Linked DNA regions of Tamandua tetradactyla. The protein of the gene in region 3 purifies or fractionates together with the protein of the main gene of each other region. This does not show direct contact. Links are inferred from orthologs where the notes say so. Each region holds a gene or a part of one and is shown on either strand. Other genes may lie near its edges. The genes, in order: SLMAP, CTTNBP2NL, STK26 and SIKE1.

Region 1 (7,643 bases), on a different chromosome or scaffold from region 3:
TTTCAATTAAGAAAATTACTTCTACATAAGTCATCATACGAAAAAAAAATTTCTCATTACCTTCCTAAGAGTCCACAGCACTACGGCAAATTGCAAAGAGCTGCCTAGATGGTTACTTCTCTCTACCAACACCCTTCACCTTAAGTACTGAGCCCTTAACAAGGGCCAGGTACCGAGTGCTAAATGATTTGCTTGATTATCTCAATCCTCAAAACAACAGTAGGTACTATTATTATTCCCAGATGAGAGAACTGTGGATTGGAATTTTAAAAAAAAAAATGCCTAAAGAGACGCTTATAGAAGGAAGATTATTCTATTACACAAAGGAATTTGTGGGGAAATTATATTAGACTGGGGACTTAGTTATCATAATCTTTTGTTACAAGACAATTATGGCAGAAATCCCCAAACTGGATTTCACACAGAGAAAACAATAAATATATGGTCAAACTATGGGTTTGCTTTGGAACAGTGTGCTTCCTAGTACCTGACACATACTAGATGCTCAATAAAAACCTGCTGTCTGACCAAACCTAGATTTAAATACTTAATCTTAAAACAATCCGATTACATGGCAAGATCTGAATGGTCATTTGTTCTAATTAGATTGGGTGGTACAAGAATCAATAATGATAGCTACACCTAAAGTAATGACCCTATATGTTAGGTAGAATCTGGTTTAAAAAGGAGGGGGCCCGGGTACAGGGTAGGTCAGTGGTAGAATTCTTGCCTGCTATGCAGGAGACGCAGGTTCTATTTCCAGCCTATGCACTTCCCTAAAACAAACACACAAACAAACAAACACAGATTCAACAAACAGTGCTGCAATAACAGGATACTCACACAGAAAAAGAATGAAATGTGATCCCCACCATACAGCATGCAAAAAAAAAGGGAGTCAGGTGCATGGGTAGTTCAGTGGTATAATTCTCCCCTGCCATGCAGGAGACCCTTCCAAGCCCATGCACCCTTCCCCCCAAAAAATAAAAATATAAATAAAAAGCTGGGGGGACAAAAGTGAAAATGGTAGAACTAAACCAAGGGTATCCTATAAAGATAAATTATTCTAATAACAAATTCTATTCAAAATGTTAATGTCATCTCAATTCATACTAAACACTATTCATACATTCTTAGTCATTTCAAAATAAGTTATTGTGAGGGTTTTAGCATAGCTATGGAAAGCACTGTTCATGTAATAATTATTTCTCAAGTAAAAGAAAAATTCTGAGTCTCCTCAGAATCAAAGTAAAGAAGGTGCATTTGCAGAGTATGCACTTGGGCAAACCAGTTATTTGATTAGGCTGGACCTTAACTGTTGCCCAGGGACACAAAAAAGTAGAAACTAGTTGAATTAAGGCACTGGTAATTAACTGATGTTTTAATTAGAATGCCGGAAAAATAGGTTCTATGAATATATATTTTAAAGAATTATGGGTAATCAGTCTATGAAGTCTCTGAGACACCCAAACCTTAGCCTCTAGGGAGAAAAAAGGATCTGTTCCACAGGTATTTTCTGGTGTTATACAGAAAAATTAACATACTTCTCAGACATCATCCTACATACAGAGTAAGGTACAAGTATTGTGCAAGCACACAGCACTTAGGCAATCTTTTCCTCCTTTCTCAAAAAAATTAATTTATATAACTTCATAAGTTAATAAATGCAGAGGATTTATGCTTTTCTTTTCCTTTAACACTCAGGTTTCTTTAATTTAAAAACACTACTCTTAAAGATTTCTTTTAAATCAGTCTTCTTTTAAAAAAGGCAATCATTTAACTCAGAGAGAGGGGGCAAAAAGTCAGAAGGTGAGACATTCCTATTAATCTTACATAACTTAGTTTAAGTTGGAACTGACTCAGTAGCTCATCTAAAACCTGAGGTTTAAGCACAAAGATGAGCTCTTGAGTATACTGACCACACACATAAAGTTTTAAAAATTGAGAGGCTAGCTTGATTTTTTTCTTGGATTGTTAAAATATAAACACCTGTAAGTTTAGTAACTTAGGGTACTAACCTAAAAATGCTAAAATGGTTACTCTTAAAATGAAGAGCACTGGATTCATCCTATCACATTAGACAATGTAATAATTCATAGAATTGAACACAATTTCAGAAAATAAAGTTCATTTCCTAACTCTGATTTTTAAACAGCACCTCTGTGAGTATGCATTAGATACATTTAATTGAGGAACAAGTGCTATAGGGAACATCGAGATATGATTTTCAAAAAACAATCGGTAATAAAAAAAGCAATAGGCACATGTTCACCTAATGCATAAACAAAACTGAAAATGTCAAGTAATACTTGTTCATGCTTAACTAAACCGGTTCTGAATATTACAAATTACCCTTCCATGGGTAAACATGTATCAAACCTTTCAAAAATTTAAGTTTCCACAAGCAGTTGTCCTTACCTGAAAGGCCCTGATCAGAAATCAACTAACAGCTACATGTAAACTACACATCTCACCAGTGAGACACTTGAGCCCCAGGGTAATACTGGCTACAAATTCCCCACATTGTTCTGGGAACTGCAAATTCACCTTTCAGAAAAGACTGAAAGGGAGAGGCCAAGTTTCACTATCTAGTTTTCCTAAACGAATGAGGGTTGAGATTTCACTAGGAATGACCATCTTATCAAGTGCCATCACCCTCCCAAGACATTTAATTACAATACTTTCTCTGTTCTCCATTCAATTAAATTTCCATTAGAACAGAGTAGTAGATTCCATAGCCTTGTTGCACACATTACATCTCTCACAGAGGGCAAAAGGAAACAAAAAGTAAAGATAGTTAGACAACGTGGTGACATTACCTTGCCCGTCTTGTGATCAAACCAGACGAGAGCATGGTTCCTTGACAGCACTTTGCAATCAAAGGTGGCATTATTCTGCGCAGGTCGACAGCGGGCCACAGAGCGGCCGATTTTGATGGGCTCGTCCAGGTAGACATGACGCTCCTGAAACGGATGCGAGTTCGGGCGGCAAGTGAAGATGGCCAAGGCTGACGGCATCGAGGACAGACTGGAGGTGTCTCTCCTATTAGACACGAAGAGGAGTTCCTCCGAATCCGGACTACCCTTCACAAGCCTATACTCCTATCCCCCCCAAAATTTTAAATTAAAACAAACTGCGTATTGTCTAAGCATAACCAGTGACAACAACTCTTCACTTGGATGGAAGACAAGCCAGCACCAGCCCCATCACCGCCCTTATCACAAAAAGTCCCCAACTAGCAGCTTTTAGTCCATCTTCTTCCCCGGGAAGAAAAGGCTCAAACATGGGTCAGTTTCGGCCAAGAAAACTCCTGGAAGACAGTTTGGGGACTGAAGGTATCCAAGCAGATGAGTCACACACCAATTCTTGTGTTTTGTTTGGGATCGCGGCCGTTTTACCCCCTCAGTGGCGGAAATGTTGCAGCACTGCAGCATGAAGGAAGGGTCGGTTCGGTGTGGCCAGGAAGGTCCCTCCGGGCCCAAGGAAGGTGTAGTTGAGCACCTCTGGATTGCCACTGTCCGTGCACGAGGGCCGAGAGGACGAGGGCTGAGAAGCCGGGAGGTGGCGAGGGATCTAAGAGGCCAGCGGAACAGTGTGCATTGCCCCTGCTCAGCGGAGGTCGCCCCAGGAGGGAGTGCGGGGTCCCCAGCCGGGCACGAGCCGGGGCGGTGGCTGAGGTCCTTGCTGCGAGGAGCGGGGGCGCGGGAAGCGGTCGGGCCCGGGCTCCCCGGCACCTGGTGGTGGGCGTCCCAGCGACTAGGGCGGGGATCTGGCTCCGCAGGCTGGTGCGGACCCAGCGAGGCGCAACCCAGCGACCCCAGGAACGTTCGGGGGTCCCGGCCGGCGGGAAGTTGGTCCCTAGACGCCTGGACTCCTGGCCGCCGCTCAGCGCACGGGCCGCCTCCCTTCAGGGTCGCCTCCGCGAGGGTCGCATCGCAGGGACGGCAGCCGCAGCTTCGGGCGGGCGAGGAGGTGGGGGAGGGAGGCTGGCCGTGGGGTTGGGGGAGAGGCCTGGAGGCCCCAGGCTGGGTCCACCGCAGCCTCCACTACTCGCGGCCAGTGGGGCACGCTCAGGATGTGCCCGAAGAAGCAGGAAACTTTCCGACCTGGTGGGGGAAACATCAAAACAAACGGCCGTCAGGCGCCGGTGCCCGCCCGCCTCAGCCCTAGGCTTTCTGAGCCCGCCCCCCGCAGTCCCCGAGACCAGTCACGACCTCGGCCGGCCTCTTCGCGGACAGGCTCCGGGGGACTGTAGCCCAGATGTCTCGACCGGTCCTGCCTCCCCCGCCGCCAAGGCCGTCTCAGCTTACCTTGCCAGCACCGGCCGCCATAGTGACTCTGACTGAAACCTACCGGGTGCACCGTCGCGGGAGCGCGCACCCTTCAAGGGCCCTCCTACCCCCTCTCTCGCGCCGTACACCGGGAATGTCACATGATCGACGCCAATGCGGCCATATTGGTAGAAGGCAAAGAAGAGGGCAGGCTAATTTTTAACGCGACTTAGAGGCCATCTTAATTTAGGGCAGGAAGCTTCAAACTACGGGACAGCTTTGACGAACCATTTTTGTTAAGGGCAAGGAAGAATTTGCGGGTTGAAGGTTTTTCAAAAAAAGTATCAACGGTCTACTTTAGTTTCTTAATAAGAAGACACGAAATTTTACTAAATATCATTTGCTATAGCTCTCACTGAAAATACCAACGAACAAAGAGAACAGGCCCATCCTAAATGGCTGTTCACGAGCAACCATTTTAGCTGTGGGCAACACCGACCCCACCGCCAGGCTCCCACAAGTTTCAGGATTTGTGCATCTAACATCATAAGGGCCGCCCTCCCCTGCCAAAGTCTTCGCTATGTTCCTTGCTCTGAGAAAAACTCTTCCTTATTCCCCACATTCTGTTTCGAATTCTTATTCTCGGCGCTGGACCTGTAAAAACCCTTCCGGCTTTAATGCGGATTCTCCCTCCAGAGGAGTGAGACTTGAGAAAGTTTAAAATCACGTTGCTTTCCGAGAATAACTATTCGAATAATTAGCAATATGATAAAAGAGGATATTGCTCACTAACAATATTAAGGTAGATGAGGAGGCATTGATCTAAAGAAAGAATGACTTTGCAAAATCTAAACGACAACTTTGTGATGGTAGGAAAAAGTCTTAGTTCGCTTAGATTCTAAGGTGACTTCATTCTTCAGATTCCTGTGATAACAAGCTCCACCAAAGTGTGACCATGGGCAAGTTTCTAAAGCTCTTCAAGCCTTGTTTTTTATAACATAGATATATTAATACTTAACTCACATACTTTTGTGAGAATTCAAGATAAAGAATAACTATTATTCATTTGAATATTTTTAGAGGGTTTTGACCCCATGAGTTGAGCCATGGAGACACACAGGTCAACAAAACTGGAGATCCCTGTCCTCAGAGAGCACACCCGGTATTGTAAAGTAAGATGGGGAGGGTTGACAAACACAGGTACAGGTAACTTCATTTTAATGACGTTACTCAGGTAACTCACTGAGTGCCCCTGGGGTCAGGGAAGGCCTTCTGGAGTAGATAATTGAACTGAAGGAAGGAAGGTGGAAAAACCACAATTAATATGGTATTTGCTGATTGGATTCATAGATTTCCAGGAAAAGGTAACAACAAGAGGAGGAACAAAGCTATTTGAAAACAGTATGCCAATGTACTGGCTCAATAAATATTTGATGCATGAATGAAAATTATATACTTTTTACTCAATATTAGAAGACAGAGTAGGAGTGGCACAAAGTGAGTCCCAAGAGAAAAATAGGCGTTAGGTTATAAAGACTTTGTGTAATTTTCTAAAGATCTTCATCACTTCAGCAAATATGTATTGAAATTTTAGTATATCCCAGATACTTTATTCTGTAGATAATAGGGATATGTTGGAAAGTTTTCATTCCCTGATAATCTTTAGGCTTATATGGAATAACATGATAGAACTCTCCAGAAAATCTTGAGCTCTGTGCATGAATTTATGTCTGTCTTTTATGCATCCTTTCATTCATTCATTATATAAATATTTAATTAAATTATGCCTAGTTTGAGGCAGATAACTTTGGAAGGCCCCCAGGATACAACAATGAAGGGAAGGAAAAAAGAAACCTTTTTCTCTAGCTGCTCATAAATTAGGTGATGACACGATAAGATCCTCGCTGTAATGGAGTACATCAGATTAATGGGAGTGGGCGGGCCATGGTGGCTCAGCAGGCAGAGTTCTCCCCTACCATGCCGGAGACCCGAGTTCAATTCCCGGTGCCTGCCTATGCCACAAAAAAAAAAAAAGAAAGAAGGAGGAATAACTGTTTAAACTGAAACTGGTAGTAGCACAATGAAGAAAATTTAGGTCAAAACAAAAACATTATCAATAAAGGCCCAGAGAGTTGAGAAATCAGGAGTTCAAGGAAATTACAGTAGGTCTGTGTTACTGGAGCATAAAGGGCAAAGTTGGGGAGGACCATAGTGTGGATTCAGGCACTGAAGACCATTGTAGGTAATGCAACAGAGTTTAGAACATTTCCCTCTTTCTCCTGCAAGGTCAAAGTGGAGTAAGGAAAGTCAAGGTTTCAGAATCAGTTATGCATGTCATGACCATTAGCCAGCAATATTATCTTTGATAAATTATTTACCTCTCAGTTTCCCCATCTGGAAAAAATGAAATAACATCAGAGAGGGTGTAAGAGTAGTTTTTGGGGTGCAGGGGTAGTTCAGTGGTAGAATTCTCCCCTGCCATGTGGGAGACCCCGGTTCGATTCCCAGTCCATGCACTTACCAAAATACAAACAAGCAGAACAAACAAACAAACAAAACTCAACAAATGGTACTGCAATAACAGGATACTCACATGGAAAAATAATGAAATGTGACCCCACCATACAGTATATGAAAAAAAAGTAATTAACATCAGAGTTTTAGGATTAAAGATGATAATGAATGATGCCTGGAAAATAGCAGATACTCAGTGAATGTTAGTTTTTATTATTATTGCTATTAGTAAAAATTCCCCTCAATTTTCCACATACAGTAAGGAGCAAGTTGTATTATCCCTAACATGTACATGAAGAAACATGATCATAAATGTGAAAAAAAAGTGTCTGTTTATTTACATTTCTGTATGCAATATCTCTTAAAGTTAATGCTAAGCAAATAGGATAGACTTTCTTCTGCAAGAAATTCTGTAACTCTTATAACCTAGCAGAATAAAGACTCCTACCAAGATATACAGGGTACTAGAAATTTAAAAATGGCAGTGAAGGCATTCCTCACCCACTGGTAGGCTGGCTCAGAAAAGTCTGAAATTAATAAATTGCATACGTAAGATATTTTGAATTCTAAGCTATGTGGGTGTTACTCTGTGATTTTACATCCACACAAATTTTTAATTAAATAAGAAACATTTTGAGAAGTTTGGAATGACAATTTTTCCCAATGTTGTGGGTTTCTCTACCTTTTTAAAATTTTTACCTTTGTATAGATTGAAAAATACTACTACTGCTATAAATCAGGCTACTTTTCAATCTTTGATAAGTAAACAGAAAGTTGTAAAATTATTGTCTTGTTGCCATGAAAGACTTGCAATTATTAGTATTTAAAATGTATAGGAAACAATCCTGTAAACTCATT
Region 2 (7,541 bases), on a different chromosome or scaffold from region 3:
GTAGTAAACATTCAGGAAATAAGGACAACCAGCCTTTAGAAACAGGTTGAAAAGCCATTCCTTGGGTCAACAACCACAGACTAGACAGATTTCCTCTAGAAATAAATCTCTGCTTCTTGTCTCCTGCCACCAAACACCACTCTAACCCACACAGAAAAGCCAAAAATTCCAATCCTGTTCCGCAAACTGGCAGTACTGCAAACCTGATTCTACCAACACATAAATCTATTGTGGACTGAGCATGTCATGACAACCATAATTAACCTATACGATTGAATTCAGAGACCCTATACTATTCTGTGCCCCATTCATATATTTAGTACCACTTTAGTAAAGCACAAAGTCAATTCAAAATCCATTAAAAAATCCCAAAGTAGATCAGTAACTTGTGAAAACCAAGCACTTGGAAACCATTTTTAATAAAAAAATGAGCAGCCAATCAATTCCTAGTGTGCTCCCTAAATTCACTTTATTCCTATTAGGTCAAATTCTTAGAAAAAAATAAACAAAAATCCTGAAATAACTAGCATTGATGACACTCATCAGTCTGGTTCAAATTTCATGACAGCAAAATTATATCATCTAACTACCAGATATTTTGTTATGGATCATTCGTATATTTTAGAGTCACTTAATATATGGGAACATCATAGATATCAGTTAGAGAAAATAAATTTAAATCAAGGCAAAAAGTGGGTTATTTATACCAATAAGATGTGCCGTATCTTATCAGTGCATTTTCTTTCTAGTTTACCCTAAGGTGACGACATCAAAGTTCAATGAACATCTATTGAGTCATATCCTAGATACTGTGAAAGATATAAAGATAAAAAAAAAAGTATAGACACTGTGAAAGATATAAAGATAAAAAAAAAGTATCTCCCCTCAACGAATTTATAATAGATTTTACATAAATAGATATATCTAGATTATACACACCTAAAAAGTTTCTGCTTGTCTATATCTAACATGACCAATCAGGTGTTGGGAAAAGTTAGAGGAAAGATTTCCAAGCCCCAAAAGTGTATCAAACAGGTCTTGCTTACTGTACCAAATAATCAAGGAGCATTATTTGCTTTTACTTCTCTGCTTATTATGGCCCTGGCAAGCACCAAAACTTTAGTTTCCTTAGTCTCTTACCTTAGTTATTTTCTGTTCTGTGCTCATGTAATAAGATATATCTTTCTTGTATTTCCTGTTCTGCTTTTAGATTTTTCTGCAGTTATTGCTGGGGACCCAAGCTTTATCCTCCTATAGCAGTACACTTTCAGTGTTTGCTGGGGAGACTACAGTTTCTTCTTTGTGCTTTCGTACTGGAGATCTGTGAACAATCACCGAACAGATCTGTGAGCACCGAGAGTGGCCCAGAAACCTTCCAACCTTAACTAGTCAAAGTAATTACCATCAGGAAGTTAAAGACAACAGCTATCACAATCACCTTCTGTGATTCCAACTCCTTGTAGTTTATTGCTATTAAGTTTGACAATAGATAACAGTAATGAAGGGAACTTCAGAATGAAAGCAAAAGAAACACCATGGTAATTTTTAATATATGGAACTGCTATGCACAGATGATTACTGGGGATTCTATGGCATTAAAATCATCAATACTTTGCACCTGCTGAAATGAAGGTCAACTTGACAAAGGCTACACTACAGAGGCACTTTCTGGTATTTACACGTGTGAACAGGTGGAGTTTATCTTGTCTTTATTTACCTTTATCTCTGAGATTTTAAAATTGCTTTACTTTTCATCCTCTAAATGTTGGTAGATGATACTGGTCTTGGAAAACCAGTCAGCACATTATAAATGTATTATTTTCCCCTGGGGGAAAAAATATCCATTACAAAACAAAGTAATTGAGAGAGTAACCAAAAGCCACAGGACCAGATTAATCATAAACCTAGACAACTGAACCTGAATTTTCTTCAATCACTTCCTGCCTTTTGTTTCAAGGTTAAACTGCAGTCTCCCTGAGCAACAGAACTGCCCACCCTAGAATGAGAGAGACTCATATCTAATTCAGTGCTATTTATTTACTTACCTATACTGCTTCATTTTAAAACATGCTGTTATCCACCGACTTCTCACTCAATGCACACTGAATTCCTACCCAGAGAAGGCCAACTCGGAGAATATCCAACACACCCACCCCACTGAAATATAAGGGGATGGCTTTTCATCAGGTTCTCAGGGAAGAAATAGGGTGGAAGGCAAAAGTGAACACAACACAACTCAGATCTAAAAACCCTTAGAAGCTGGATTCTCCCTCACGGAATGGTGAACAGAGGAAGGTACAAAGGCTGAAAGGGGGAGGGGTACTATTTCTCCTTCCTCCGGAGTCTAAAAAAAGTCCATCTTTGCTCCCGGAGCAGGGGCGCTCTCAAGCCCTTGCCCCCACCCCCACCCAGAGGATGGGGGATGGGAAGAGCTGAAGCGGGGGTGGGGGTGGGGGGGCGCTTCTTTTGTACAGCTGGCCGTGTAGGTTGGGTCTTTGATTTTTGCTTCTCCCATCCCTCTTTTTTGGGGGTGGGGTAGGGTGGGGGGATACTGGTTTTATCTTACGGATGAAACCAGCTCTGGTTCTGTCCTAGCGGGCAGGGACAGGTGTAAGGGGGGATGTCTGGCCTCCCGGGAGTACAAAATGGGGGGTGGGGGCGGTAGCCCAAAGAATGGGAACCTGAGAGCCCTCCTACAAGGCGGAGGCGCTGGGCGAGAGGGGCCTGTAAATGAGGGTATCAGGAGAGAAGCACCTTCCGAGGAGACGGGAATTGACGGAGGACAATAAAGTAGCTGAGGGGACCCTCGAAGGATGAGGAGCCGCCTCCTCAGGGAATACCGGGAGGTGAAGGAGACGGCCCCGCCCCCTCCAGGGATGGGCGCTAGCGGCAGTTGAGACGACGGCGGGAGGATACGGTGATCCTACTCTCGCTTTTCTCTCGAGAACCCGCGCTCCCAGCAATCGCCAAGGCCCGACCCTAGCTGCTCTTACCTTTTGCCGGCGCTCTGGGATCGGCTCCCCGCCGCCTCCGCCACCCGCTCCGCATCCACAGCCCCCGAGGCTCCTCCCCTTCAACCACTAGGCGGGGGTATTGGCATTCATCCGGGCCAATCACCACCTCGCCTCTCCAACCCTGCCACCAATCCGCGCCGTTTGGAGGAGGGGCTTCTCAAATGTCATTTAGGCTCCTCCCGGGGCCCCAAGATCCCTTTTGTTTGGAGAGAGCCCGGCTAGGATTGAGCGCGCGTCACTTCCGGTGGGAAGCTCGCTCCTCCGGCCCGGGCGCCAGGGAAGCTCGAGTCCCTCCCCGCCTGGAGTGTGCAACTTTCCACCTTTAGTCAGGTTATCGGGCGGGACCGGGGCGAGCGCCTCACACTTTGCGGTGACGGTACGGGAAGCTTAGGAATGCCGAGCTTCTTGTGTTTGGATTTTGATTTTATCCAAAATGTTAAAAAAAGAAAAAGAGGTGAGCTTGGGTGTGTTATAGAATTCGTTGTTGAAAACCTGGTTACGTGGCTTCCCTTCTCCCTCTGGTTTTTCTTGAACGCGCCTGTGGGTGGGTGTGGTGCTAGCAGCAAGGCGGAGAAGATGAGATACCAGGAGACTGCAATACTTGCAGAAGAGAATGCCTGCTCTCGAGACCCTAGGGCGGGACCCAGGATGGCATCAGGAAGGGCATAGCCCAACCGACCTGCCTTGCGGGCTTCTTTATACACCACGGGCAGGGTGGGGGTGGATGGTGGACGGCAGGCAGTAGACGAATGATTGCTTACTTGTGTGTCAAGCTTTTCCACACTAGCCTTGTCACGTGAGGGGACATTCCTGCGGGATCCTCTGGCGTCGCAGCCCCCATTATACTGTGGGGGCACTGGCGTTTGCAATGAAGCTGGAGCAAAGGACGATGTAGAGGATACAAGGAAGATCCGCCCCTCTTGAGCACGAGGAACACAGACCTTGGCGGTGGCAGCAAACTCCAAGCAGAACCAAGTAACCCAGACGGAGGGGGATAGGATGATGTAGACCTAGTTGCACCTGAGGTCAAAGTTTCTGGGATCCTTTTTCATAGACTGCACTCCATTTCACAGATTGATTCAGCTGATTAAAACCATAACACCCACTACATTATCTTAAATACGATATAACAAATAATACAATTAGATAGTTATATTGAAAAAATGCCTTGATACATTATTTCTGATCTTAATAATTATAATTATGCAAGCAGATGCATCTCCTCACTTAAACAGTTTACAGGTTGGTGGAGGGATGTGATCAGTCTGCAATCACTTGGAGGTTGGAGGGAAGTAAACCAGTATTTAGCATGTCACTGTGAGAGCTAAGCCAGAGGAAAAGGCCAGGACGGAAGGTGCCACCACAGAGAATCAACATCTCAAGACCGGGACTTTCAGTCATCACTATGCCAGGTTCTTTCACATAACGTTATCTTATTTAATCTTCACTAATATATTAAATCTATCCGACCCTGTAAGGCAGATAGCCATCTTTGTGTCCATTTTTCTTTCCTTTTTTTTTTTTGCATGGGCAGGCACCTGGAATCGAACTGGGGTCTCCAGCATGGCAGGCGAGAACTCTGCCACTAAGCCACTGTTGCACCATCCCTTTGTGCCCATTTCACAGACGAGAAAACAGAGATTCAGAGAAATTAAGTAAGGCGACAGAGCTAATAAATGGTAAAAAAAAAACTTCAAACCAAGGATGTTTGACTCTTAACACCTATACCACATTCTGTTCACTGCCCATTGGCTCTCAGGAGGAGGCTTTACCCAGAAAATGGGCATGGATGCCTATAAAGCCACCGTTGGAGCCAGAAAAACAGCTTCATGTTTCCCCCTATTGATTGTAGCTTTGGGAGAGTCATCTCTATATATGAAGAACAGCAAGACTATGGAATGAGGTGCTTAACCGCAGCCTGCGTGCTTTTGGCATAGGGGATACAGAACTTCAGAAAGATGTGTTCAGGAGACTGACAGGCAAGATAAGCCAGGCACATAGTAAGTGCTCAATAAACACTGATGACTTGAAATGGTGAGGGGATACAGAACTTCAGAAAGATGTGTTCAGGAGACTGACAGGCAAGATAAGCCAGGCACATAGTAAGTGCTCAATAAACACTGATGACTTGAAATGGTGAAAAACACAACTTTAGGTGCTGGAATAGGTCCACAAATTTGAAAAGTCCTATTTCCTCCTCCTCCCTTTTGCTCTGCCCATGAGTATGCAATGAGGAAGTGCCTCATTGCTTGACCATGAGGCAGATGTGGAAGAAAGGCTATTTTCTGCTAGCTTCTGAGTCACTCGAAGAGTTGTCCTAGTGAATCAGCCCCTCCCACCTCCCCTCCTTCCTTATGTAGCTTTAACTCCCCCACCCATTCCATTCCCAGGCCGACGGGGTGGGAGCAGTGCCCTATGGCCTACTACTTGCCTTACAGCAATTGACTGGGCTCTCTCTAGCTCATTCCTAAGTGTGGGAGGACCCAGCAAGAATGAGATCGGCCCTGGCCTGTAGGATTCAGAGTCCTGAGAGTGTTAGATTGCTTTCCTTTTAATTCATCACCCCTGGAGGTAGTGAACAAGAAGGCTTGTGACCCTTGCCTTCGGCAGCACTAGGAGATAGTTCTGGAGTTTGATGAGTCTTCAAGATATACAACTTGTAAATAAATTAAGAGTCTGGGGCAAAGGTATACTTGGTGGCAAGGTGAACTGGGTTAATAATGTCTTAAATCTGTACAATACAATATTTAAATATCTGTTATTTTATTAACTTAGCACCTGCTTACTACCATCTATTGTCTGTCAGGTAACAATTCAGTAAAGAAGTGCTACAAGATTGTAGATTGTGTCAGCTTTCCTCCAAATAGGTAAACTTCCAGAGTTGGTGTTGTATGAATTTGCTGATTTGGGGAGGCAACGATGGGGTAAAAGAGGGCTAGACTGGAAGTAAAAAAAGTCGTGAGTTCTAGTTCTCACACTATCACAGTCCTACTTGGCAAAGTAACCTCTGCACTTAACTCCATGTAATCTCACTGATAAATAGCGTGAAAATAACGGACTAATTTCTAAAGATCATCTCAGTGTTTTGAGTATATGATAATTGTATATACTAGATATCATTTATCAAGCTTTATTATATGCCAGGCATTAAGGAATTTGTTCTACATATTATATCCTTTAATTCTTAAATAATTCCATGAGATAGATGTTAATATTCCTATTTTACAGTGAGGAAATTGAGGCACAAAGAGATCTGTAATCATGGTATTAATAAGTGCTGGACATAGCTTTTTACTCAACTCTGACTCCGAAGTACAACCTCTTCATTTCCATGTCCTGTGGTCTCTCTGTCATGTGTAATGGGTTAAGAAGAAAGGGAATGCAACAGATATCATTAAAATGTGATCGATGGAATATTTGCAGTTGAGTAGCAGTCTTCCTGGAGTTCTGAGTATAGTTTGGACTGATTTTAAAACAAGGGAAAGCAAGAGAGGAGGTGATAGCAGGTGACATCGAAGTTTTATGAAGGAAGAGGAGAGCTTTGGGTGTTTAACTGAATCTTGGTTTCCTTATTTGTAAAATGGGATTATAGCCTCTGTCTGCAACACTAGGTGGTTGTGAATATACAAGTGGGATGATGTATATGAAAGGATTTGGTAAATTGTATGAGGGATTACTGTAATTTGCTTAGGAGACCTAGCTCAAGCACTTTATCTTCCCTTTAGCCAACGTCCCTTCAGCCAACTCTATAAGGTTCCTTCTGTGACCCAGTGGCACTTTCTAAGCTAAATGAGTTAGATGTAGAGGTGGGAGCAATGAGAAAAGGGACCTGGCCTGACTTCCCTATTTTTCTTTCTCAAGGAACCACCCAGCACCCACACTGAGGTGAGAGTGTAGAAACCAGAAAGGACTCTTTATCCCAGGACCAGGTTGAACTGGAGAGATGGTGCGCTCTCCACTGCTCCCTGCATTTTCTCCCATCATTTGTCCCTACGGAGTCTTTTCTGAATAGTCCTTGAACATTGTCTTCTTGCTTGGATACACCGGTCCTGGAAGACTTGGGCACAGGGGTGAGTTTGGAGATTTATGGGTGTGGCCCCAAATGTGTGTCTGAGTTTATAGCTCCCCCTAGTGCTGAGTTATGAGTCCTGCAGCTGTTAGCTCTCCTTTTGGCCATCTCCTTGGCCCTCTAGGGAGACATCCCAGACTGCACATTTTCTCCCTTTTTGGAGTGTGGGCTGAGAGCATAGCAGGTAGGGGTCTACAAGGGATCGCAGTTCAAACAGCCACCTTCAGGGACAGACTATTTTGGGTTTTTTTAGCTAAAATTCTGGGCCAGCTTGGCCATGTGGAGCTGAGAAAACTTTGCCCTAGCCTGTAAGGGAGAGATCTAGGAGAGAGAGGGAAAAAAAGTCTAACATTGAGTGACTGCTTAGTGCTTTACATATATTATCTAATTTAATCCTTGCAACCATCCTGTGAGGTAATTATTATTGCTTCTAGGTTTTAGATGAGTAAGCGAGTTCA
Region 3 (7,896 bases):
ATTATCCTTTTTTTTTCTCCTCCAAATGTGTATGTGTGTGTGCATGTGTATTGAACAAAAGGTGGTGATATATATTAAGGGGAAATACAGAAATAAATGCAGTTAGGGCCAAATACAAAGTCATCATAAGACTAGAAATCAACTAATCTTGATACTGAAAAAGATTCACTCTGAGAGGTAGTTTATTGTGTTTTCATGTTAAGAGCATGAACTGCAGAGCTAGACTACTTAGGTTCAAATCTTAGTTTTGTCTACATACTAGCTCTATGATCTCTAGTAAGGGATTTAGCTACTCTGTGCCTCAGTTCCATCACCTGTCAAATAGGGATACTAAAAGTACATAACTTAAGTTGATGTAAGGGCCTAACTATGTGTTACCCTTTCTTTAGGCTTTTATTGAAGTATGGCACACATACAGAAAGCTGCACAAAGTCATAAGTGTAGAATAGCTCATTTTTCACAAAGTTAAAACATTCATGTATCCATCCACCAGATCAAGAAAGAGAACATTACCTGCTTGCCAGAAGTCATCTGATGCTCTCATTCAATCACTGCCTTCTCCAGCCCAAAGGTTTCCACTTCCCTATCTTCAGACATCATAGATTCATATTGCCTAACTTTGAACTTTAAATGAGGATCTGCATAAACTGTTTAGAATAGTGTCTGGCATGCAGTAAACTCCAAATAAGCCTGGTAATGTGATTTTAACAATAACAAAAAAATAATAAAATAAGAAGTCAATTTGTGAGGTAAAGCTTATGGCAATAAAGTTAAAGGTAACCTGCCTATTTAAAAAAAAATGATGAGTTCTTGAAAACATTTTGCTTCCATAAGTTAAATCTACTCTGTATTCCATACTAAGAAAACTACATTCCGTTTGAGACATCAGAAAAAAACATATGCCCAAGCATTTCAGCATGATCCAGAATTTTATTCAAAGTTTGCTTAAAAAAAAAAAAAGAAAAATTAACAGATGAAAAACAAGTTTGGCTGAAACTTCTCTAGGCCTCAGTCTCCTCATTGTAAAATGAAGAGAATTGGATCATCTCTAAGATTCTTACCAGCGCTGACATTTAATGATTCTATGAAAACATTTCTTACAAAGTAAAATCTGGAATTTTCTGAAGCTTTATTTTATAGCTAAATAATAAATCTAGAGTCACAGTTAAACATGACCTTTCAGAGGAAAAACAGCAGGGATTCTGTGAGGGAATAGCATGTCTAGTGCTCTTTAGGAGAGTAAATAACATATGGGCAAGGAAGAACCAGGGGATGGAATATATAGAGACTTTTTCAAAAGTCTTTGGCAAGCTTCCATGCTGTTGACTTTGGTTGTTGTTGCTTAATGAGTCCCTATGAGATTTGGGGAAACAATTTGTCATAGAAGGAGCGCTAACTCACAGAAGGAAATGAAGGATAGGAATGTGTGGGTGCTTCTCTGGATGGAGAAGTGTCAGTATTAAGGTTTCCATGATCCCAGGCTTAGATAACTGTTACAAGTGGTGTGAAAGAAGGTCTACACAGTGGTAAGAGCTACTAAGCTCTTCTCAGTAGTGAAATGCCAAACTGACGTAAGGACAAATGGCAAGAAAGTCTCTCAAAACTGGAAAAGAACAATAGAACATCTCCGCAAGGTAATGCATCCACAGAAAAAATATATACAAACTATACATGTTTGATAATAATCTCTGTTGCTCCCAAAAGGGAAGCTAGGAGTTGTAAGTTATTTCTGGAACAATTTCACCTCACTGTGCCATTTTTGGCCAGAAAGGCCAACAAAATGCTGTGCATGATTAGAAAACAGACTAGAAACAATATAACACATTATTCTATTTTGGGGGAAAAAAATTAAATCCTGGTGCAGCCACATCTGGAATACAACACTTAATTCAGGAAGCCACAAATCAGCAAAGCCAAAATGGAACTAAAGGTGGTGTAATGATGGGCCCTGAGAATGTGTGAATGAGAAGGTGCTAGACTGAGCCACATTCAAGGTGTTAAGATTCTTTTAACACAATACGATGAAGATAGAGGCAACAGCCAGAGTTACTACTGCTGCTACTTACCACTTATTTAGTGTGCACTCTGGGTCTGTTACAGGACCAAGTGCTTTTTGTGTATCAAATCCTGTAATACCTGTGAACCCCTATGAGATAGGTCCCCACTATTAGCCTTATTTTAAAAGTATCCTGAAGGGTATGGACAGAGTAAATAGCAACCAAAGCTATTAACTGGCTAGAACTCAGCACAGACCTTAAAACTCAAGAGTCAAATCCAAGGCAATCAACAGGAAGTGAGACTTTATATAGTGGACAGTAAAACCTGTGGAACTCACCACCTTCAAGCAGCAGTACAAATTAAGCTGTAAAGAGCACCAAGAAAGATTTAGGCTACATTTGCAAAAGATAAAACCAAGATAACCTGCTAAGAGAATCTTGCTAAGTGTCTTAAACTTTTTCTTTTTTCAATTTGCATGGGCAGGCACCTGGAATCAAACCCAGGTCTCCGGCAGGGCAGGTGAGAACTCTGCCTGCCGAGCCACCGTGGCCCGCTCTAAGTGTCTTAACTTTTGAGGTTGTCATTAAGGAGAACAACCACACCCTCTCCGCTCCCATTGCCAACATGATTCCGAGTCCCCCTCTAAAAATTCTTGGCTGCCTGGACCAGAAATTTGGTCCAGCGTGGCTTTTCCTTTTTAATTATGACAAAAATAGGGGAATGGTATTTGAATTCCTTGTGGGTAATTCAAGATGGTTGCAATTTGTACTATACTTGAATCCCTTTTAATGATAGCCTAAATTACACAGAATCCTATTTAAAGTGCTGTGCTCTTTAGAAACGAATTTTTTTTTACGAGTGACTTGTGGAAGAATGGATTGCCACAAAGATAGCAGGTAGAGGAATTCCCCTACAGCATCCATCATCTGGTCAAGCATTTACTTGCAGTTAGTTCATGTACATCTTTCTTAAAGAAGTTACATTTCGGAGAGAATACATTTTCATGCACAGAAAATTAGTTTAAAAGAGAATCCCTGTATAAAACCCGAAACTTGGACACCTCCCATGAAAACTTACATAGCAGCTTCTCTGTCACATCAGTCCTCACGAGACCTAAGGATGGATTCATCCAGTGTTGCTCAGAGCTTCTTCTGTCTTGTCGGTGTGACGCTGCTGGTTTACACAAAATGCACCGGTACCCACCCTTGGCTGGATGACCTGTACCTTAATTGAAACACTGTATGTGTTCTGGGCATGCCACAGAAAAGAAACAGAGAAGGAAAGAAAGGCTAGGAGTGAACATCTAGTTCACAGAGAACTAGCCTTATCTGTGGGGAGGAAGTATGTAAAAAAACAAAAAAATACTCGAGAGCCAAGAAACGGGAAGGGGAAAGGGATAAATGGAAAGATATGATCTTTCCTTAGATACATTAAGAATTCTTTAAAAAGGGAGATAAGACTAAATGTGGGTTTAAACAGTCACATGGGTAATTGGGTCATGAGTAAATCGGTGAAGTTGGCCACTTGTTTGAACATCACTACTTTTCATGACAGAGGTTCTGCTTTCTCCTCACACCCCCACTCCAATCTGTTTCCTCTCATTGCTGAAAGCCCATCTCTGCAACTAGGCATGAATCTGGTACTCCCCCAGGCCCTGATTCTGGGCCATTCTCACCTCCTTTGATCAAAATGTATCTGTGTTCTGCCCATTTTGATACCTTGGCCTGAGAACATTGCCATTTTAATAGGGAATAAGTTAATACTTACTCAATATGGCCCTCTACTCCTAGTTGTAAGTGGAGATATTTTGGGAGCAGAGATCTTCTCACACCCTCAAATAAGTTTAGGTAAAAAGCCAGCAGAATTTGCCTCAGCCAAGTGACCAGTTTCAGTTTCCTCACCTGTAAAATGGAGGAAATAATACATTTAATTTCCATCACTGTATATTCACACATCCTCACACCCATCCTCTTAAATAAGGATTATTACTCCCACTTTACAGACAAGGGAACTGAAGCTCAATGAAGTGAAATAGCATAGTCCAGGATATTATGTGAAAGAACTAGTGTATGAGGAGAGGAGTCTACTAGCTAAGATAGGAAGTTGACATGCAGTTAAAAAAGCTCCTAGGACATGGTGCCTGACATAGGAGCCACGTGGCTGTGTGGAGGCAATATGGAATCCAGGCTGTGAGTATGGACTTGGAGTACCAGAAACCTAGGTATGAATCCTGGCTCTGCCCCTTATTTCCTGGCATTCGTTGGGCAACTCACCTTCTCCAAGTTTACATTTACTTATTTGGAAGATGGGCATGATAATGCCTCTCTTATAGAGCTGTCGTTCGGATTAGCTAACACAGTGAGTGTAATGTGCTTAGTACAATGTGGAGCACGTGCGAAACAGGCAAAAATGTGGAAGCTACTGGAATGATTATTAGTAGTAATACTTTGCACACATGTTAGCCTAGAACATGGTGTTTGCTGGGCAGAAGGTAGCGTTAGCTACCAGTCTACTAGTTATCTACTAGTTGCTAGACTGTAGGCAACCAGAGGCAAACATAGTTAATGCAAGTTAAAAAAGAGAAGGCTGAATGCTCTTCAGACAGCACCACTGAAGGCTATCCAGGGCTAGGCTGCACGTTCCTTAGAATAGTGTTTCTCAAACTTAAAGGGTATATCAGCATCACCTGGAGGGAAGTTAAAAGACGGAGGGCTGGCCCGACTTCTAAAGTTTCCAATTCAGTAGATCTGGGGCAGGCTCAAAGTACTTGCATTTCTAACAAGTTCCTGGGTAAATACTGATGCTGCTGGTATGGGGACCCCACTTTAAGAATCACTGCCTTAGGAAAAAGAATCCCAGATCTTTAATTCCTGCCCAGTTCTAGGCATCAGAGTTTCCTTGCTTTAGTTTTCTCTTTCTTTCTTAGTAAAAGTCTACTTGAAAAATGCCAACCCTGTTTTGAGAGAACAGAGGGATTTGTCCATAACTGAGCCAGGAGATTAGGGGTAGGGTGGTGGTAGCCATTGCTCCAGCTACAAGGCTTGAGGAGAGGCCCCAGAGCAGAACAAATATCAAAACTGAGATGGAAAGACTTGGAGATAGCTGTGATTACTGAGCCTTTTCCAGCTTGGATTTTCCCTCAAGCAAGAGTTTTCTTGCTTGAGCTTTTTATCCCTTTACAACACTATCACTATATCTTGGGGGAGGGAGGAAGGAGTTACTACATTTTCTTTCTGCACTTTTCATACTCCCCTTTTCACTCTCTGCCAGCCACAAGGCCAACACGAACCTCTTGGAGAGCCCAGAGCAGCGTGAACAGATTACGGAAACCTGAGCAAAACCCCGAATGAAATTAGATGTCTTTCTTGAAGTAAAATATGTGCTCCATGCTCTTCGTGATGTTACAGCAAATTCGAAAACCAAGGGCTGGATTCCAAGTCACCACCTGGCAGCTGTCAGTGAACTAAGCCTCCGCTACCTGTTAAACACAGTTAATGAAGCAGTCTGTGTTTACGAATTAGGGGATTTGTCTTTGAAAATAGTGACCCAATAGAATGAGAAAAGATAGATAGCCTTGGGTTTAGATTTCTGGATTAGAAATCATCTGTCTCATGAATTTTAAGGGATAAAAGAACATGTGGTCTAACTTATTAATGAAAATGTATATTGATACTGCAAATGCTAGGAAATGGAAACACCAATATGGATAAGAATGGATATTTCTTAGGTTCTCGAGCCAGAGATACTTTGGCTTATGAGTTCTAGAGACGGTGTCTGGGCCTGTTCAGTGCCATTAGGCTATTAGGTACCTGTACCAACCTGCCCACACTACATGAAAACACGCCTCCTTAACGCTTTCAGAATTTATGGCTTCTGTCCCAAACCATTCACCCCAGCTCATTTCATACCCGATTTCCTAATTCTTCCTCAGTCTGTTCTAATTTCTGACCTCCTCACTCATTTTTCCTCTCACTGTCTTGCCTCACTCACCCTGGGGCCTGGCACGTGGTATTACTTCTCCAACTTGAACCCTTTGTAGCCTTCTTTGGCCAATAATCAGGTTCGCCCACTTGGCTACACTGTTGTCGGCTGCCATGGGTCAACCTGGTCCCCGGAACCTAACACCATCATACAAACCCTCATGGGAAGTGGCCCTCCCTGGCACACCCAGTCCTAGGAGCAGAACTCAGACTTGAGAGCTTTATGACTCCTTGATACTGCTGTCCGAAAGAACAACCCCCCCCCCAAAAAAAAAAAGCAAAGGAAGGAATTTGATTGCCCAATCACTATACACAGAAGAGCCAACTGAACTTTTATATTGTCTAAAGTATAGTATACATAACTATATACTGTTAATAGTTCTTCTCAGATTTGAAATTTTGTTCATTTCTTCCTCTCCTTCATATCTATCTCCTCTCAGCAGCCCACCCCTCTGATTGATTGTCAAGATTTATGATTTCTACCTCCATAATGTCACTTGAACCCATCATTCTCTTGCCTGAGCTGTTTGCAATTGTATCCTAATAACTGGTCTCTCTATAGCTAGTGTCTCTTCTTTCCCCACCTTACTCCCCCATGCCCCTTATCCCCTGCCAAGCCATTCTCCATATAGCTGCCAGAACAATCTTTCTAAAACATGGATATGTTCATGTTATTACTCCCTATCTTAGTATTTTTCATTCCCAGGTATGCATCAGATTATTTTAAATATGATTTTGGTTTTTAAGAAGAGACACTTCTAATTATAGCAATAATAATGATCTGCTACTTTAGAGTGCTTTAGAGTACTTTATTGTGCTTTAAAGTGTTTTCACAGCTATTAGTAATACATTAGAATGATTCACATATTATTATCTCTATATTCAAGCAGAGATGGTATCTTTTATTTATACTGAAGTATACAGAATGAGTAGTAGATATTAAAAATCAAATATATTGATCTAATTGGCTATGTAGTTGATAAATTAGGTACTCCTAAAGGAAATTCAGATTCACACTCAATTTCTTAATTCTTCATTTCCAGAGAATGAATTTGCTAAGTATTATTCTGATGCTGATCTATCTCAGTTGTTTAGAGCATGCAATTACTGAGGTCAGGGTTGGTAGTTGAACTCCCATTTGTTTAAGTTGGCCTCATTTGATTTCATGTATATCGCCTGTAACCCTAACTTCAGACAGCCATCTCACAGTTGCAGATCCCAACTGAGCTGTATAAGAGATTACATGAAATTACAGAAATTACCATGACTCCATCCCTATTACTTGAAAACTCAAATATCATAGTAGCTCTGTAGCATTATGTTAGCAGTTAGACAAATGTTTAGCAACAATTATCTAAACAAAGAGACAGCTTGACTCTCTAATGTGGTCCTTTGAGAACCCTGAAGAATTCTTCATAAGTATCTCATTCCTAATCATACAATTCCAGTCTAATAGTATTAAGCTCCATCTCAACTGATGATATAGGTAACAATTACTAATGTAAATTTACATGTGTCCTGTAATATTTCCACATAGTAATTTCTATATTCTCAAATGAATAAGGAAATGTTGTACATATAATACTACCTTTCGCATTCATGGAGATGTGGTGAGTGTCAGGTCCAATCTTACGTGCAGGTGGCATTACAAATTGCCTCTGTGGTAGAATCGGCAAGACCCTTGACCTGAAATTTTCAGATTCCCTCCTATTTACTCGGCATTAAGATGAGTCCATTGTTAAATGCAATTACTTCTGAAACGAGTAATAAATCATTAACAGTCATTAGCACCTAGGTATGAGTTAATTTATTAGATTCCTTCCACCTAATACTGAGTACCTTGTGGAAGACACTGGACTGATGTATTTTGATGAGAAGATAATGGAGGCAAAGGTACATATTCCCAAATAACAGATTT
Region 4 (8,063 bases), on a different chromosome or scaffold from region 3:
TTTCTTTTGGTATTTACTTCCATAATTCTAAATAATACGTCTGTCCTGCTAGTTCTTGATCATCAATTTTAGATATTATCTACTGACTTATTATGGCAGATGAGGGATTTCAGCTCACATGTACCTGTCTCCAACTCCTCTCTCTACCCTCCCAATAGGACACCTCAACTTCTGGCTAATTGTTATTGGTATTTTCATTATATGCTGCTGACTGATTTCCTTTCTTAAGAGAAGTTTTAATTTTAAATCCTGAGTACACAAAAAACAGCAATACATTGCAGTGACATGATAGTGCTGACATACCTTCCAGACTCCATGAAAACTCCCTGAAATATTGTGAAGCTAAAGGAGCAACAATCTTACCTCTAATTGGGCTAGTTTTTCCTGAATCTTACAAAACTGGTCATCATCTACCTGAACAGCTTTCCTCATCACTTCTCCCATTTCACAGATTCTGTCAATCTGACTCTCAATTTCCTGTGAAGATATTAAGAAAAAAAATAGGTGAAAAAATAACCTTTTCTATAGATATGAAGATCATGATGGGCAAGGGTGCATTATGATTTTTAAAAGTTCATTTAATCTATGCTATAGGAGTTATATTGCTATTTCACTATAATCTGAGTCCTTGGAGATAAAGCCATAATGAAGTAGCCTTACGATGTTCAAAAACAATTTTTGTTTTCAAAAGATCAATTCTAGTCTCACCACCCTTTGGATGTTAGAAAAAGCTGTTTAATCTAAATTTGAACACTTATTGATGGGAAACTTACCACATTCCAGGGTGCCATTTTCCATCTTTGGACATCTTTCTTAGATAGCTTTTCTATATCAGCTAAACTCTGTCTCATTCAAGTCTCAATGAATTGGTCCTAGTTTTCTCCTCCAGATCAGAGACAATTTATTTTCCTTTTCCATATGGAAGACATTCATATATTTAAATAGGCTATTCCCATTTCCTGAGACTTTTAAAAGTCAGTAAAATGTTTTCAGTGGAATCTAAGATGAAACTTAACTTTTACTAAATTGCACTGTAACAAACAGTGGAGCTCCAATCTATTAAGCCAAGATTAAATAATCTAGTATATGTGAATATACTATGATAATTATAAAACACTCTACAAATATAAGAACAATTACTGAGTCTCTCTAATTAAATCATAAGTATTCTAAGTCTAGAAACTATGTTACATATATTTTTTTAAGACAACACTACTGCCTTGTAACAACCTTGTATGATGCTATGTAGTTCAGTTTAAAAAAGGTTTATGACTGCCTGTTGTGTGCAAGGTATTATGCTAGAGGTAAAAGATGAATTCATAATTCATATTCCTTACAATCAAGGAGCTTACAGTTTGGAGAGATATTCAACCAAGTGTTTACTGAGCACCCTCAATGCTAAATGGCACTGTGGTGGAAGAGCTAAGCATTCATTAACACCTTGATAGGAGATCTTGGGGTAGGGGAACCTTCACCCCACTCAAATAAAGGATCTAAGTTGCCTTGCCCCTTTATCCCCTTCTTTTCATTCATCTTTTCAAGGCCATAGCAAAATAAACAGTGGATGTGATGAACATTAGTGGAAAACAAGACTACATTTTCTTCTAAAACAAGCCCCAAATTTAAAACAATTTCTAGATTTCAGTTCAGTTCATTTAGAATTTACTCATCAAAGTTTCTTACTGCAGAGTGGGACTGGTGAGCTTTGAGGACTGGTTCAGCATCCACTGCTTTCTTAGCAACCATTAACTGTAACATCTGTTTCCGGTACTTGCTCATGATGAGTTCCAAGGCATCTTGGTGTTCCTCCAAGGAAACCCATAGCTCTATCAAAAAGTAAAATAATTTGGCAGTGAAGACCCAGTGATAGTTCCCAAAGCCAATCTGTTAACAGGTGGAATTTTCCATAATTTTATGACAATCTGTAAAATAATGTGAATCCAAAGCTGTAAATCAATGATTAAGTCCACAAAACTGAACAGCTAAGGTCTATGTGAAAAATAACTTCCTAGGCAGACAGCATCATTTAATAGAAGAAATACAGGATGTGGAATCAAAAGACATAGGTTTGAGTTCAGTTCCATGACTAATTAGTTTAATAATCTCAGGCAAACCATTTAAGATCTGAGCCTATTTATTATGTGCAATCTTCTAATAATAAACACCTGGCTTGCCAACCTCAAAATGAAGACATAAGAACACAATATGATATAGGTTAAAGCACTCTGTAAACTGATAGACACACTATTAATATTACTATCGTTAATAATGTACTCATTAAGTCCAAAAATACATAAGTGAAGATAAAATTTTTTCTTCCACTTTGCACAAGATAAAAAATTTCAATTTTAATATTAATGTATATTCAATTGATATTTAAATCTTAAATTTTAAGTCCTTGATGGTAACTCTTTCGTCAGGCAAGCCTCCGTCCGGGGTGTCTAAAAAAATCATGCAATATTTCAATTCTATTAGGCATCTCTTTGCTGAGCTGTGTGTACATACAAAATCAGTCAGATGACCTCGAAAAATTTAATCTAACAAACTTTATTGTTACTGGGCCTGCACACGGGGTAACTCTTCTATTAAAGGTATCGACCTGGAAATACATATAGGATATGCACTTTTGTGAACAGTTAAGACAGTTCTGCAAAAACTTTTGAACCGTTGCTGGATATGAAAAAGTCATAACTACACAAAAAGGTCCGACTAACCTCTGTTTTCCTGTTGCAAGTCTCTAATCTGTGTGTTCTCTTGGGACAGCAGAACGTGTGGTTTGTATTTGGACACGTCCTTCATATCGGATGCATCCTCTTGACACTGGACAGAGACAGACAGACTAAGTGCGCCGAAAACAGGGGCAGATGCGACTGAAGGAAGAGGCAGGCGTCAGAGGACCGGGAGAGTATTCTCAGCCCCGACTCCAGAGAAGTCTTTCTCCCACCCTCCTGAGAAGGGGAACAAATTCCACGCCGGGTTCCCACTTTTCCTAGCCCTCCACCCTCAAGTGTCCAGAACCCGAGGACATGACTCCCATCCTCTGCCTGACCTGGTCCGGAAGCGCTGTCCCAGCCTCCCGCATAGCTGCCACCCGCCGGTGCAGCGCCGCCGACTGATCCACCAGCGATTCGGCGGCCGCATCGTGCTCCCGCAGCCTCTCCAGCAGCGTTTTGGCATCTGTCAGGATCTTCTCGATCGTGCAGCTCATAGCGGCTGCACGACCCGCGTATCAGGCCCTGCTCACCAACGCGATTCGCTCAGTTGTTGCCGGAAGCACTTTCTGCCTTGAGGCGTCACTTCCGGGCACGTTTCGCAGGCGTCTGCGCACTGGCGTTGTCCGCGCCCGGACCGGTTTCAGCCTGCGGCTTCTCGGAAACTCCGCCCTGAGCGGAGCCACGCCCTTGATTTCCTGTTCTCTCAGCTCGGTGGCCTGATTGAATTGTGGCTGAGCGGCTCCGGTTTTTCTCCATATATATGTATATTCTGTTTCAATTCAGTTAATAAGTTGAAAGTAAATTTAGCCAAAACAACAATGACTTTTGTATTGTTACATTGGTTAATAAGAGTTTTCCTTGTCAAGCTTGTATGTCTTTGTTCTTTTTCATTCATTAATAACTATTTTTGGAGAGCCTTTTCTGGTCCAGACACTGTTTTGTCCTGGAAATGCAGCAGGGAATAAGACACAAGGTCTCTGCCCTTAGGGAGATTATTTTCTAATGAGAGAAAGAATTTATACTCTAATGAATATTTTAAGGCAGTGACAGGATGATGAAGGAGTCTGATGAAGGAGTGTCAGAGTGCTAGAGGTCAGAGAAGCAGGGGGAAAGGAACTGGGCTTTTGGTCTTTGTGTTCACAGCAGCTGCCACATTGTTTGTTGAAGGGAACATGGGGAACAAGCTCAACAGAAATAACAAATCAGGGTCACTGACCAACAGGAAGACAATTAATGCACTCTGCAGAGATTTCATTCATTCATTAAAACAACAAAATGCAGAGATTTCGTTCATTCATTAAAACAAAAAGACGTTCCCTAACTGATCTCTTTTCATGCGTTTGGCTTTGACTTCAAATGGTTCTCAAATCCATCTCTGTAGCACAAATCTCTTTCATGAACTGGATTATTCCACAGGGACAACCTACAGGCATCACAAATTCAGCATGTACTAGAAGTGATCTGATTATCTTTGCCTCCAAATTTGCTTGGCCATCATTTCAGTAGAGCACATTCATGCATCATTTCCCCAAAAACAGAATCCTGGACGTTATCCTTCATTCTTCCCACTTACTTACTCTTCATATTTAATCTGTTTCAAAGGCAGTGTATCTCCTTTGTATCTTTAGGACATATTTGCTTCTTTGCATTCTCATTACTCCTGGGTGGTTCAGGCCATCATCTTTTCTCACCCAGGTCTAAGGATGGTCTTCCATCTGGTCTTTTCCCAACCTCAGGTCATCTACTCTGATAGCTCTCCCTAACCGACACCACAACCTCTGCTACTTCTTACAGTGGAGGATAATTATTCTATGTCCTATCCACTTTAGGGTTGACAACTAGACTGGTAGTTTTACTTCCTGAATGATACTTCTAAGCACTTATTCTCTCATGTTGTGTAAAATCTCTTTATTTGATGTTTATATCCCACAGATGAAGAATCTTCTGTCGCTCCTCTCTGTTGTTAATTACTGACCTTCTATCTTGGGTATTCTTCTTTATTCCTAGAAGATTTTAGGAGTTGGCTTATGGTCTTTTTAATTATGCCATATTTTGCTCTCATGTGAGTGACATCCATGTCCATGTGGACAACTCATCTAATGCTGTGTCTTTTCTTGATCTTCTGATTTGTAGAGATGTTTATTTTGGCTTAATGTGGCCACATTCTGGATCATTTTCCAAGAATTGTCCTGTGTAGAAATTTTAGGGTTTAATGATTAACTCTTTGACTATAGCTTTTCTGTCTGTCCAGTTCTTGCAACCTTATCTCCCACTACCATTTCATTTACTTCATCCAGCTCTTCAGTTTCTGAATCTATCCATATTCACTCTACCTGCATTAATCAGAGTTCTACAGAGAAATACACCTGACAGGATATATAGATATAAAATATTAAGAAAATTGAGGAACTGCTCATGTGACCATGGAAATTGAGAAGTCTGAATTCTGAAGGGCAGGCTGCAAGTTGGAAACTTGGTGACTATGAAGTTGAATTCCCCAGGAGAAACGGGGTAGCTGAAGCAGAGATAGAAATTCTTCTTTCTGACTTCTGAAATCCTCAGTTCTTACTTTAAGGCCTCCAACTTATTGGATGAAGAGACTTATCTCATTACTGAAGAGAATCTCCTTTGTTGATTGTGGATGTAATCAGCTATTGACGCAATCAACTAACCAATAATCTAAATCCATCTTCAAAATCCCTTAAAGTAACAATCAGGCCAGTGTTTACTTGACCAAACAACTGGACACCATAACTTAGCCAAGTTGACACATGAAATTAACCATCATCCTACCTATCAGCCTCTTCTAATGGTCTAATTTTCCTTCCCTCACCAAACTGGACCCTTGTGATTGGTAGTCTGAACCATGATTCAATTAGTGGGTAAAAAAGAATGCAGCAATAGGGTGCATTTTTATTCCTGTTTTTGTTTTTACGAGAAAGTCTTGAGCATGTTTTTAGGCTTTGTAGGGGAAGGAGCCATTAGGGAAAGTGATACAAGAGAGTAGGGAGACAATGGAAGGAGCAAGGACCAGGAGGAGATGGGACAGGGTAGTTAAACACTTGCTGAATATTGAATAAAACAATGGGATTCCAGATCAGGAATACAGGTGAAGCAGCTGGATTTGAACAGAATGAGGGACATTTCATTCTCCATAATTGGAGGGGAAAAGAATAGGTACAAATATGAATAAGCTTCAAGATGTGGCAGCATGAAGTTGAAAGTTTTAACCTTTGAGCCATTTTCAGTCTTCCACAGCCCACCCACCAATAAACCAATAAGTTAAGCTTGGGTACTTTATTTTTTTGACTGCTTGTTGTATTTTAATGTGTATATAAGACAATTACACCTAACATTGTTATGAATAAAAGAAATCACATCAGTCATCAAGGGCTCCTGAATGAACAACATTTTCTTAACTTCTATGTTTATCATCTTTACTTTCTAGGTATAATTTAATAAGATCATCAATTTGAAGAATAGTAATTGCAACTTCTGTTGCAAACTTCAAACTCTTTATATTAACTATAGTAGGTTCACCCCTGCTTGTTTATTGATTGAGGTTTACAAGCCCAGATACTTTTAATATTGTTTGTGGAAACCACACAAATTACCCAAGATCTTTGATTTTTCTGGCTTATTTCTACTATGATCTGATATCCCACATGGCCCCTATTTTTTGGTTCCATTTCTCTCTATTATCTCTTTCTTGCCCTTTGGCCATTTAAAAAGTGAAACCAAAAGAGGTTCTACTCTCTTCTCCTACATGCATAGAGGTTAAAAACAAACAAAACCTATGATGGATTTCTTAAACAAATAATTTAGTCTCATTCAAATTAATAGGAGAGAATCCAATAGCAGGCATTTTGGGTATTCCATCTGTAGCACAATGGGTGGTCCTACTTATGAAACCAAAATTACCTCCTACTGGGCTAGTTGCAGGACCTTGAAGCTACTTCTTGGAAAGAGTGGAAGGAGCAGTTCAGTCCAACCCCAAACTCCGATTAACAATGGTAGAATAAGTGCAGTAGCTGTGCCTGTCTTTTAATGAATTGGTTATTTGTTTATTTTTTAAACATTTCTTCATTCAATCTGTTGGTACTTATCTGGTGTGCCCCAAATTTTTCATGAGTATGCTACCAAATTTTGATATGTAAGTAGACATGTGCAGATTTACTTTTACTAAACAAGATATGCAAAGACATTCTAGCTTATTTGTTTTCTATAAGTAATCTGTATTTTCTGGCAAGCCCCCATTCCCATCCTACTAGGAGCTATGGGGAAAAACCCAGCTTTTGGTTGAGTCTGATAAACTCAGTATGGTCTAATTATTTAACAGTTCTTCCGAGTTCCACTGAACTTCAGTTCTTCTACTGCCCTGTAGATTTCTATTTCTGTCTGAATTTCATTCTGCATATAAAGGACTCTAGTAATAGGGTCATGACCTATCCTGATTGGGCTGGGTTACACCTTAACTGAAGTAATCACATCAAAAGGTCCTACTTACAATGCGTTTGCCTCCATAGGAATAGATTAGATCAAAGCACATGTTTTTCTGGGGTACATACAGCTTCACACCACCAAAACAAGTATTTTTTAATAAAGAAGACCTGCATTTAGAAGTCTAGAAATCTGGAATTTCATTATTCAGCATTATAAGAGAAAGCAGCACTGAGGAGTTCAAATTTTACAAGAAAAAAGAAATGATAAATAATATATAATACAATAATACAAATTTTACTAGAAAAAAATAAAAAATAATACATCTGTACTTCCTACAGCCCCAAATGGGAAGCGTGACAAAACACAATTCTACTTTGGACTTCAATCTAGGACTTTAAGTCAGAGAAGGGGGTCAGACCTATATGCGCTTGTGTCTTCTCACAATCTTTCAATTGTGAGAAGATTTTTCATTTGCCTTTTCTCCCAATCCACACAGACAAAAAGGACAAACACTTTCTTTCCACTTCCTTTCAGTCCTGGATACTTCCCAGATATTCTCTTCCTCCTTTCCTGGGGCTGTAAAAAGCATGGAAAGAGATACCACCAAATTGATTAGGAAACATAAATTAGAGATATTACTTGTAAATGTAACATTTGATATTTAATTATGGAGTTGTCAGCAGAAACATGGAGCTAAGTAGATTATGAATCCCAGTGTGGTATAGTGTACAGATTGATTTAAGAGGCAAAGTGAAGTACCAAGCTGACCCCAAAGGTTCCTGAGTCTTCAATACAACCTGGATTAAGGCTGTAAATGGTTCACTTCATAACAGGGGCCCACCTAAATGCATAGGCATTGAGTTTTAAGAACCCAAAAGACTTGTCACTTCTGCCTTGATCCTGTCT

What was found.
Region 1: the proteins of STK26 (region 3) and SLMAP purify together in Homo sapiens (affinity purification with mass spectrometry; 5 studies listed by BioGRID and IntAct, with this or other methods). This does not show direct contact. The link is inferred for Tamandua tetradactyla from reciprocal best matches to the Homo sapiens genes STK26 and SLMAP.
Region 2: the proteins of STK26 (region 3) and CTTNBP2NL purify together in Homo sapiens (affinity purification with mass spectrometry; 4 studies listed by BioGRID and IntAct, with this or other methods). This does not show direct contact. The link is inferred for Tamandua tetradactyla from reciprocal best matches to the Homo sapiens genes STK26 and CTTNBP2NL.
Region 4: the proteins of STK26 (region 3) and SIKE1 purify together in Homo sapiens (affinity purification with mass spectrometry; 4 studies listed by BioGRID and IntAct, with this or other methods). This does not show direct contact. The link is inferred for Tamandua tetradactyla from reciprocal best matches to the Homo sapiens genes STK26 and SIKE1.

Annotation. Positions count from the first base shown.
Region 1 is NC_135341.1:27,188,732-27,196,374, forward strand, and holds the start of SLMAP (sarcolemmal membrane-associated protein), read right to left. Parts: upstream 3,020-7,643; 5' UTR 3,018-3,019; coding exon 2,820-3,017; intron 1-2,819. UniProt on the Homo sapiens protein: Associates with the striatin-interacting phosphatase and kinase (STRIPAK) core complex, forming the extended (SIKE1:SLMAP)STRIPAK complex.
Region 2 is NC_135337.1:9,694,768-9,702,308, forward strand, and holds the start of CTTNBP2NL (CTTNBP2 N-terminal-like protein), read right to left. Parts: upstream 3,252-7,541; 5' UTR 2,994-3,251; intron 2,519-2,993; exon of another isoform or gene 2,046-2,518; intron 1,322-2,045; exon of another isoform or gene 1,141-1,321; intron 1-1,140. UniProt on the Homo sapiens protein: Regulates lamellipodial actin dynamics in a CTTN-dependent manner. Associates with core striatin-interacting phosphatase and kinase (STRIPAK) complex to form CTTNBP2NL-STRIPAK complexes.
Region 3 is NC_135353.1:30,555,617-30,563,512, forward strand, and holds the start of STK26 (serine/threonine-protein kinase 26), read right to left. Parts: upstream 3,199-7,896; 5' UTR 3,078-3,198; coding exon 3,076-3,077; intron 1-3,075. UniProt on the Homo sapiens protein: Serine/threonine-protein kinase that acts as a mediator of cell growth. Modulates apoptosis. In association with STK24 negatively regulates Golgi reorientation in polarized cell migration upon RHO activation.
Region 4 is NC_135337.1:6,543,759-6,551,821, reverse strand, and holds the start of SIKE1 (suppressor of IKBKE 1), read right to left. Parts: upstream 3,297-8,063; 5' UTR 3,209-3,296; coding exon 3,050-3,208; intron 2,821-3,049; coding exon 2,715-2,820; intron 1,827-2,714; coding exon 1,684-1,826; intron 478-1,683; coding exon 364-477; intron 1-363.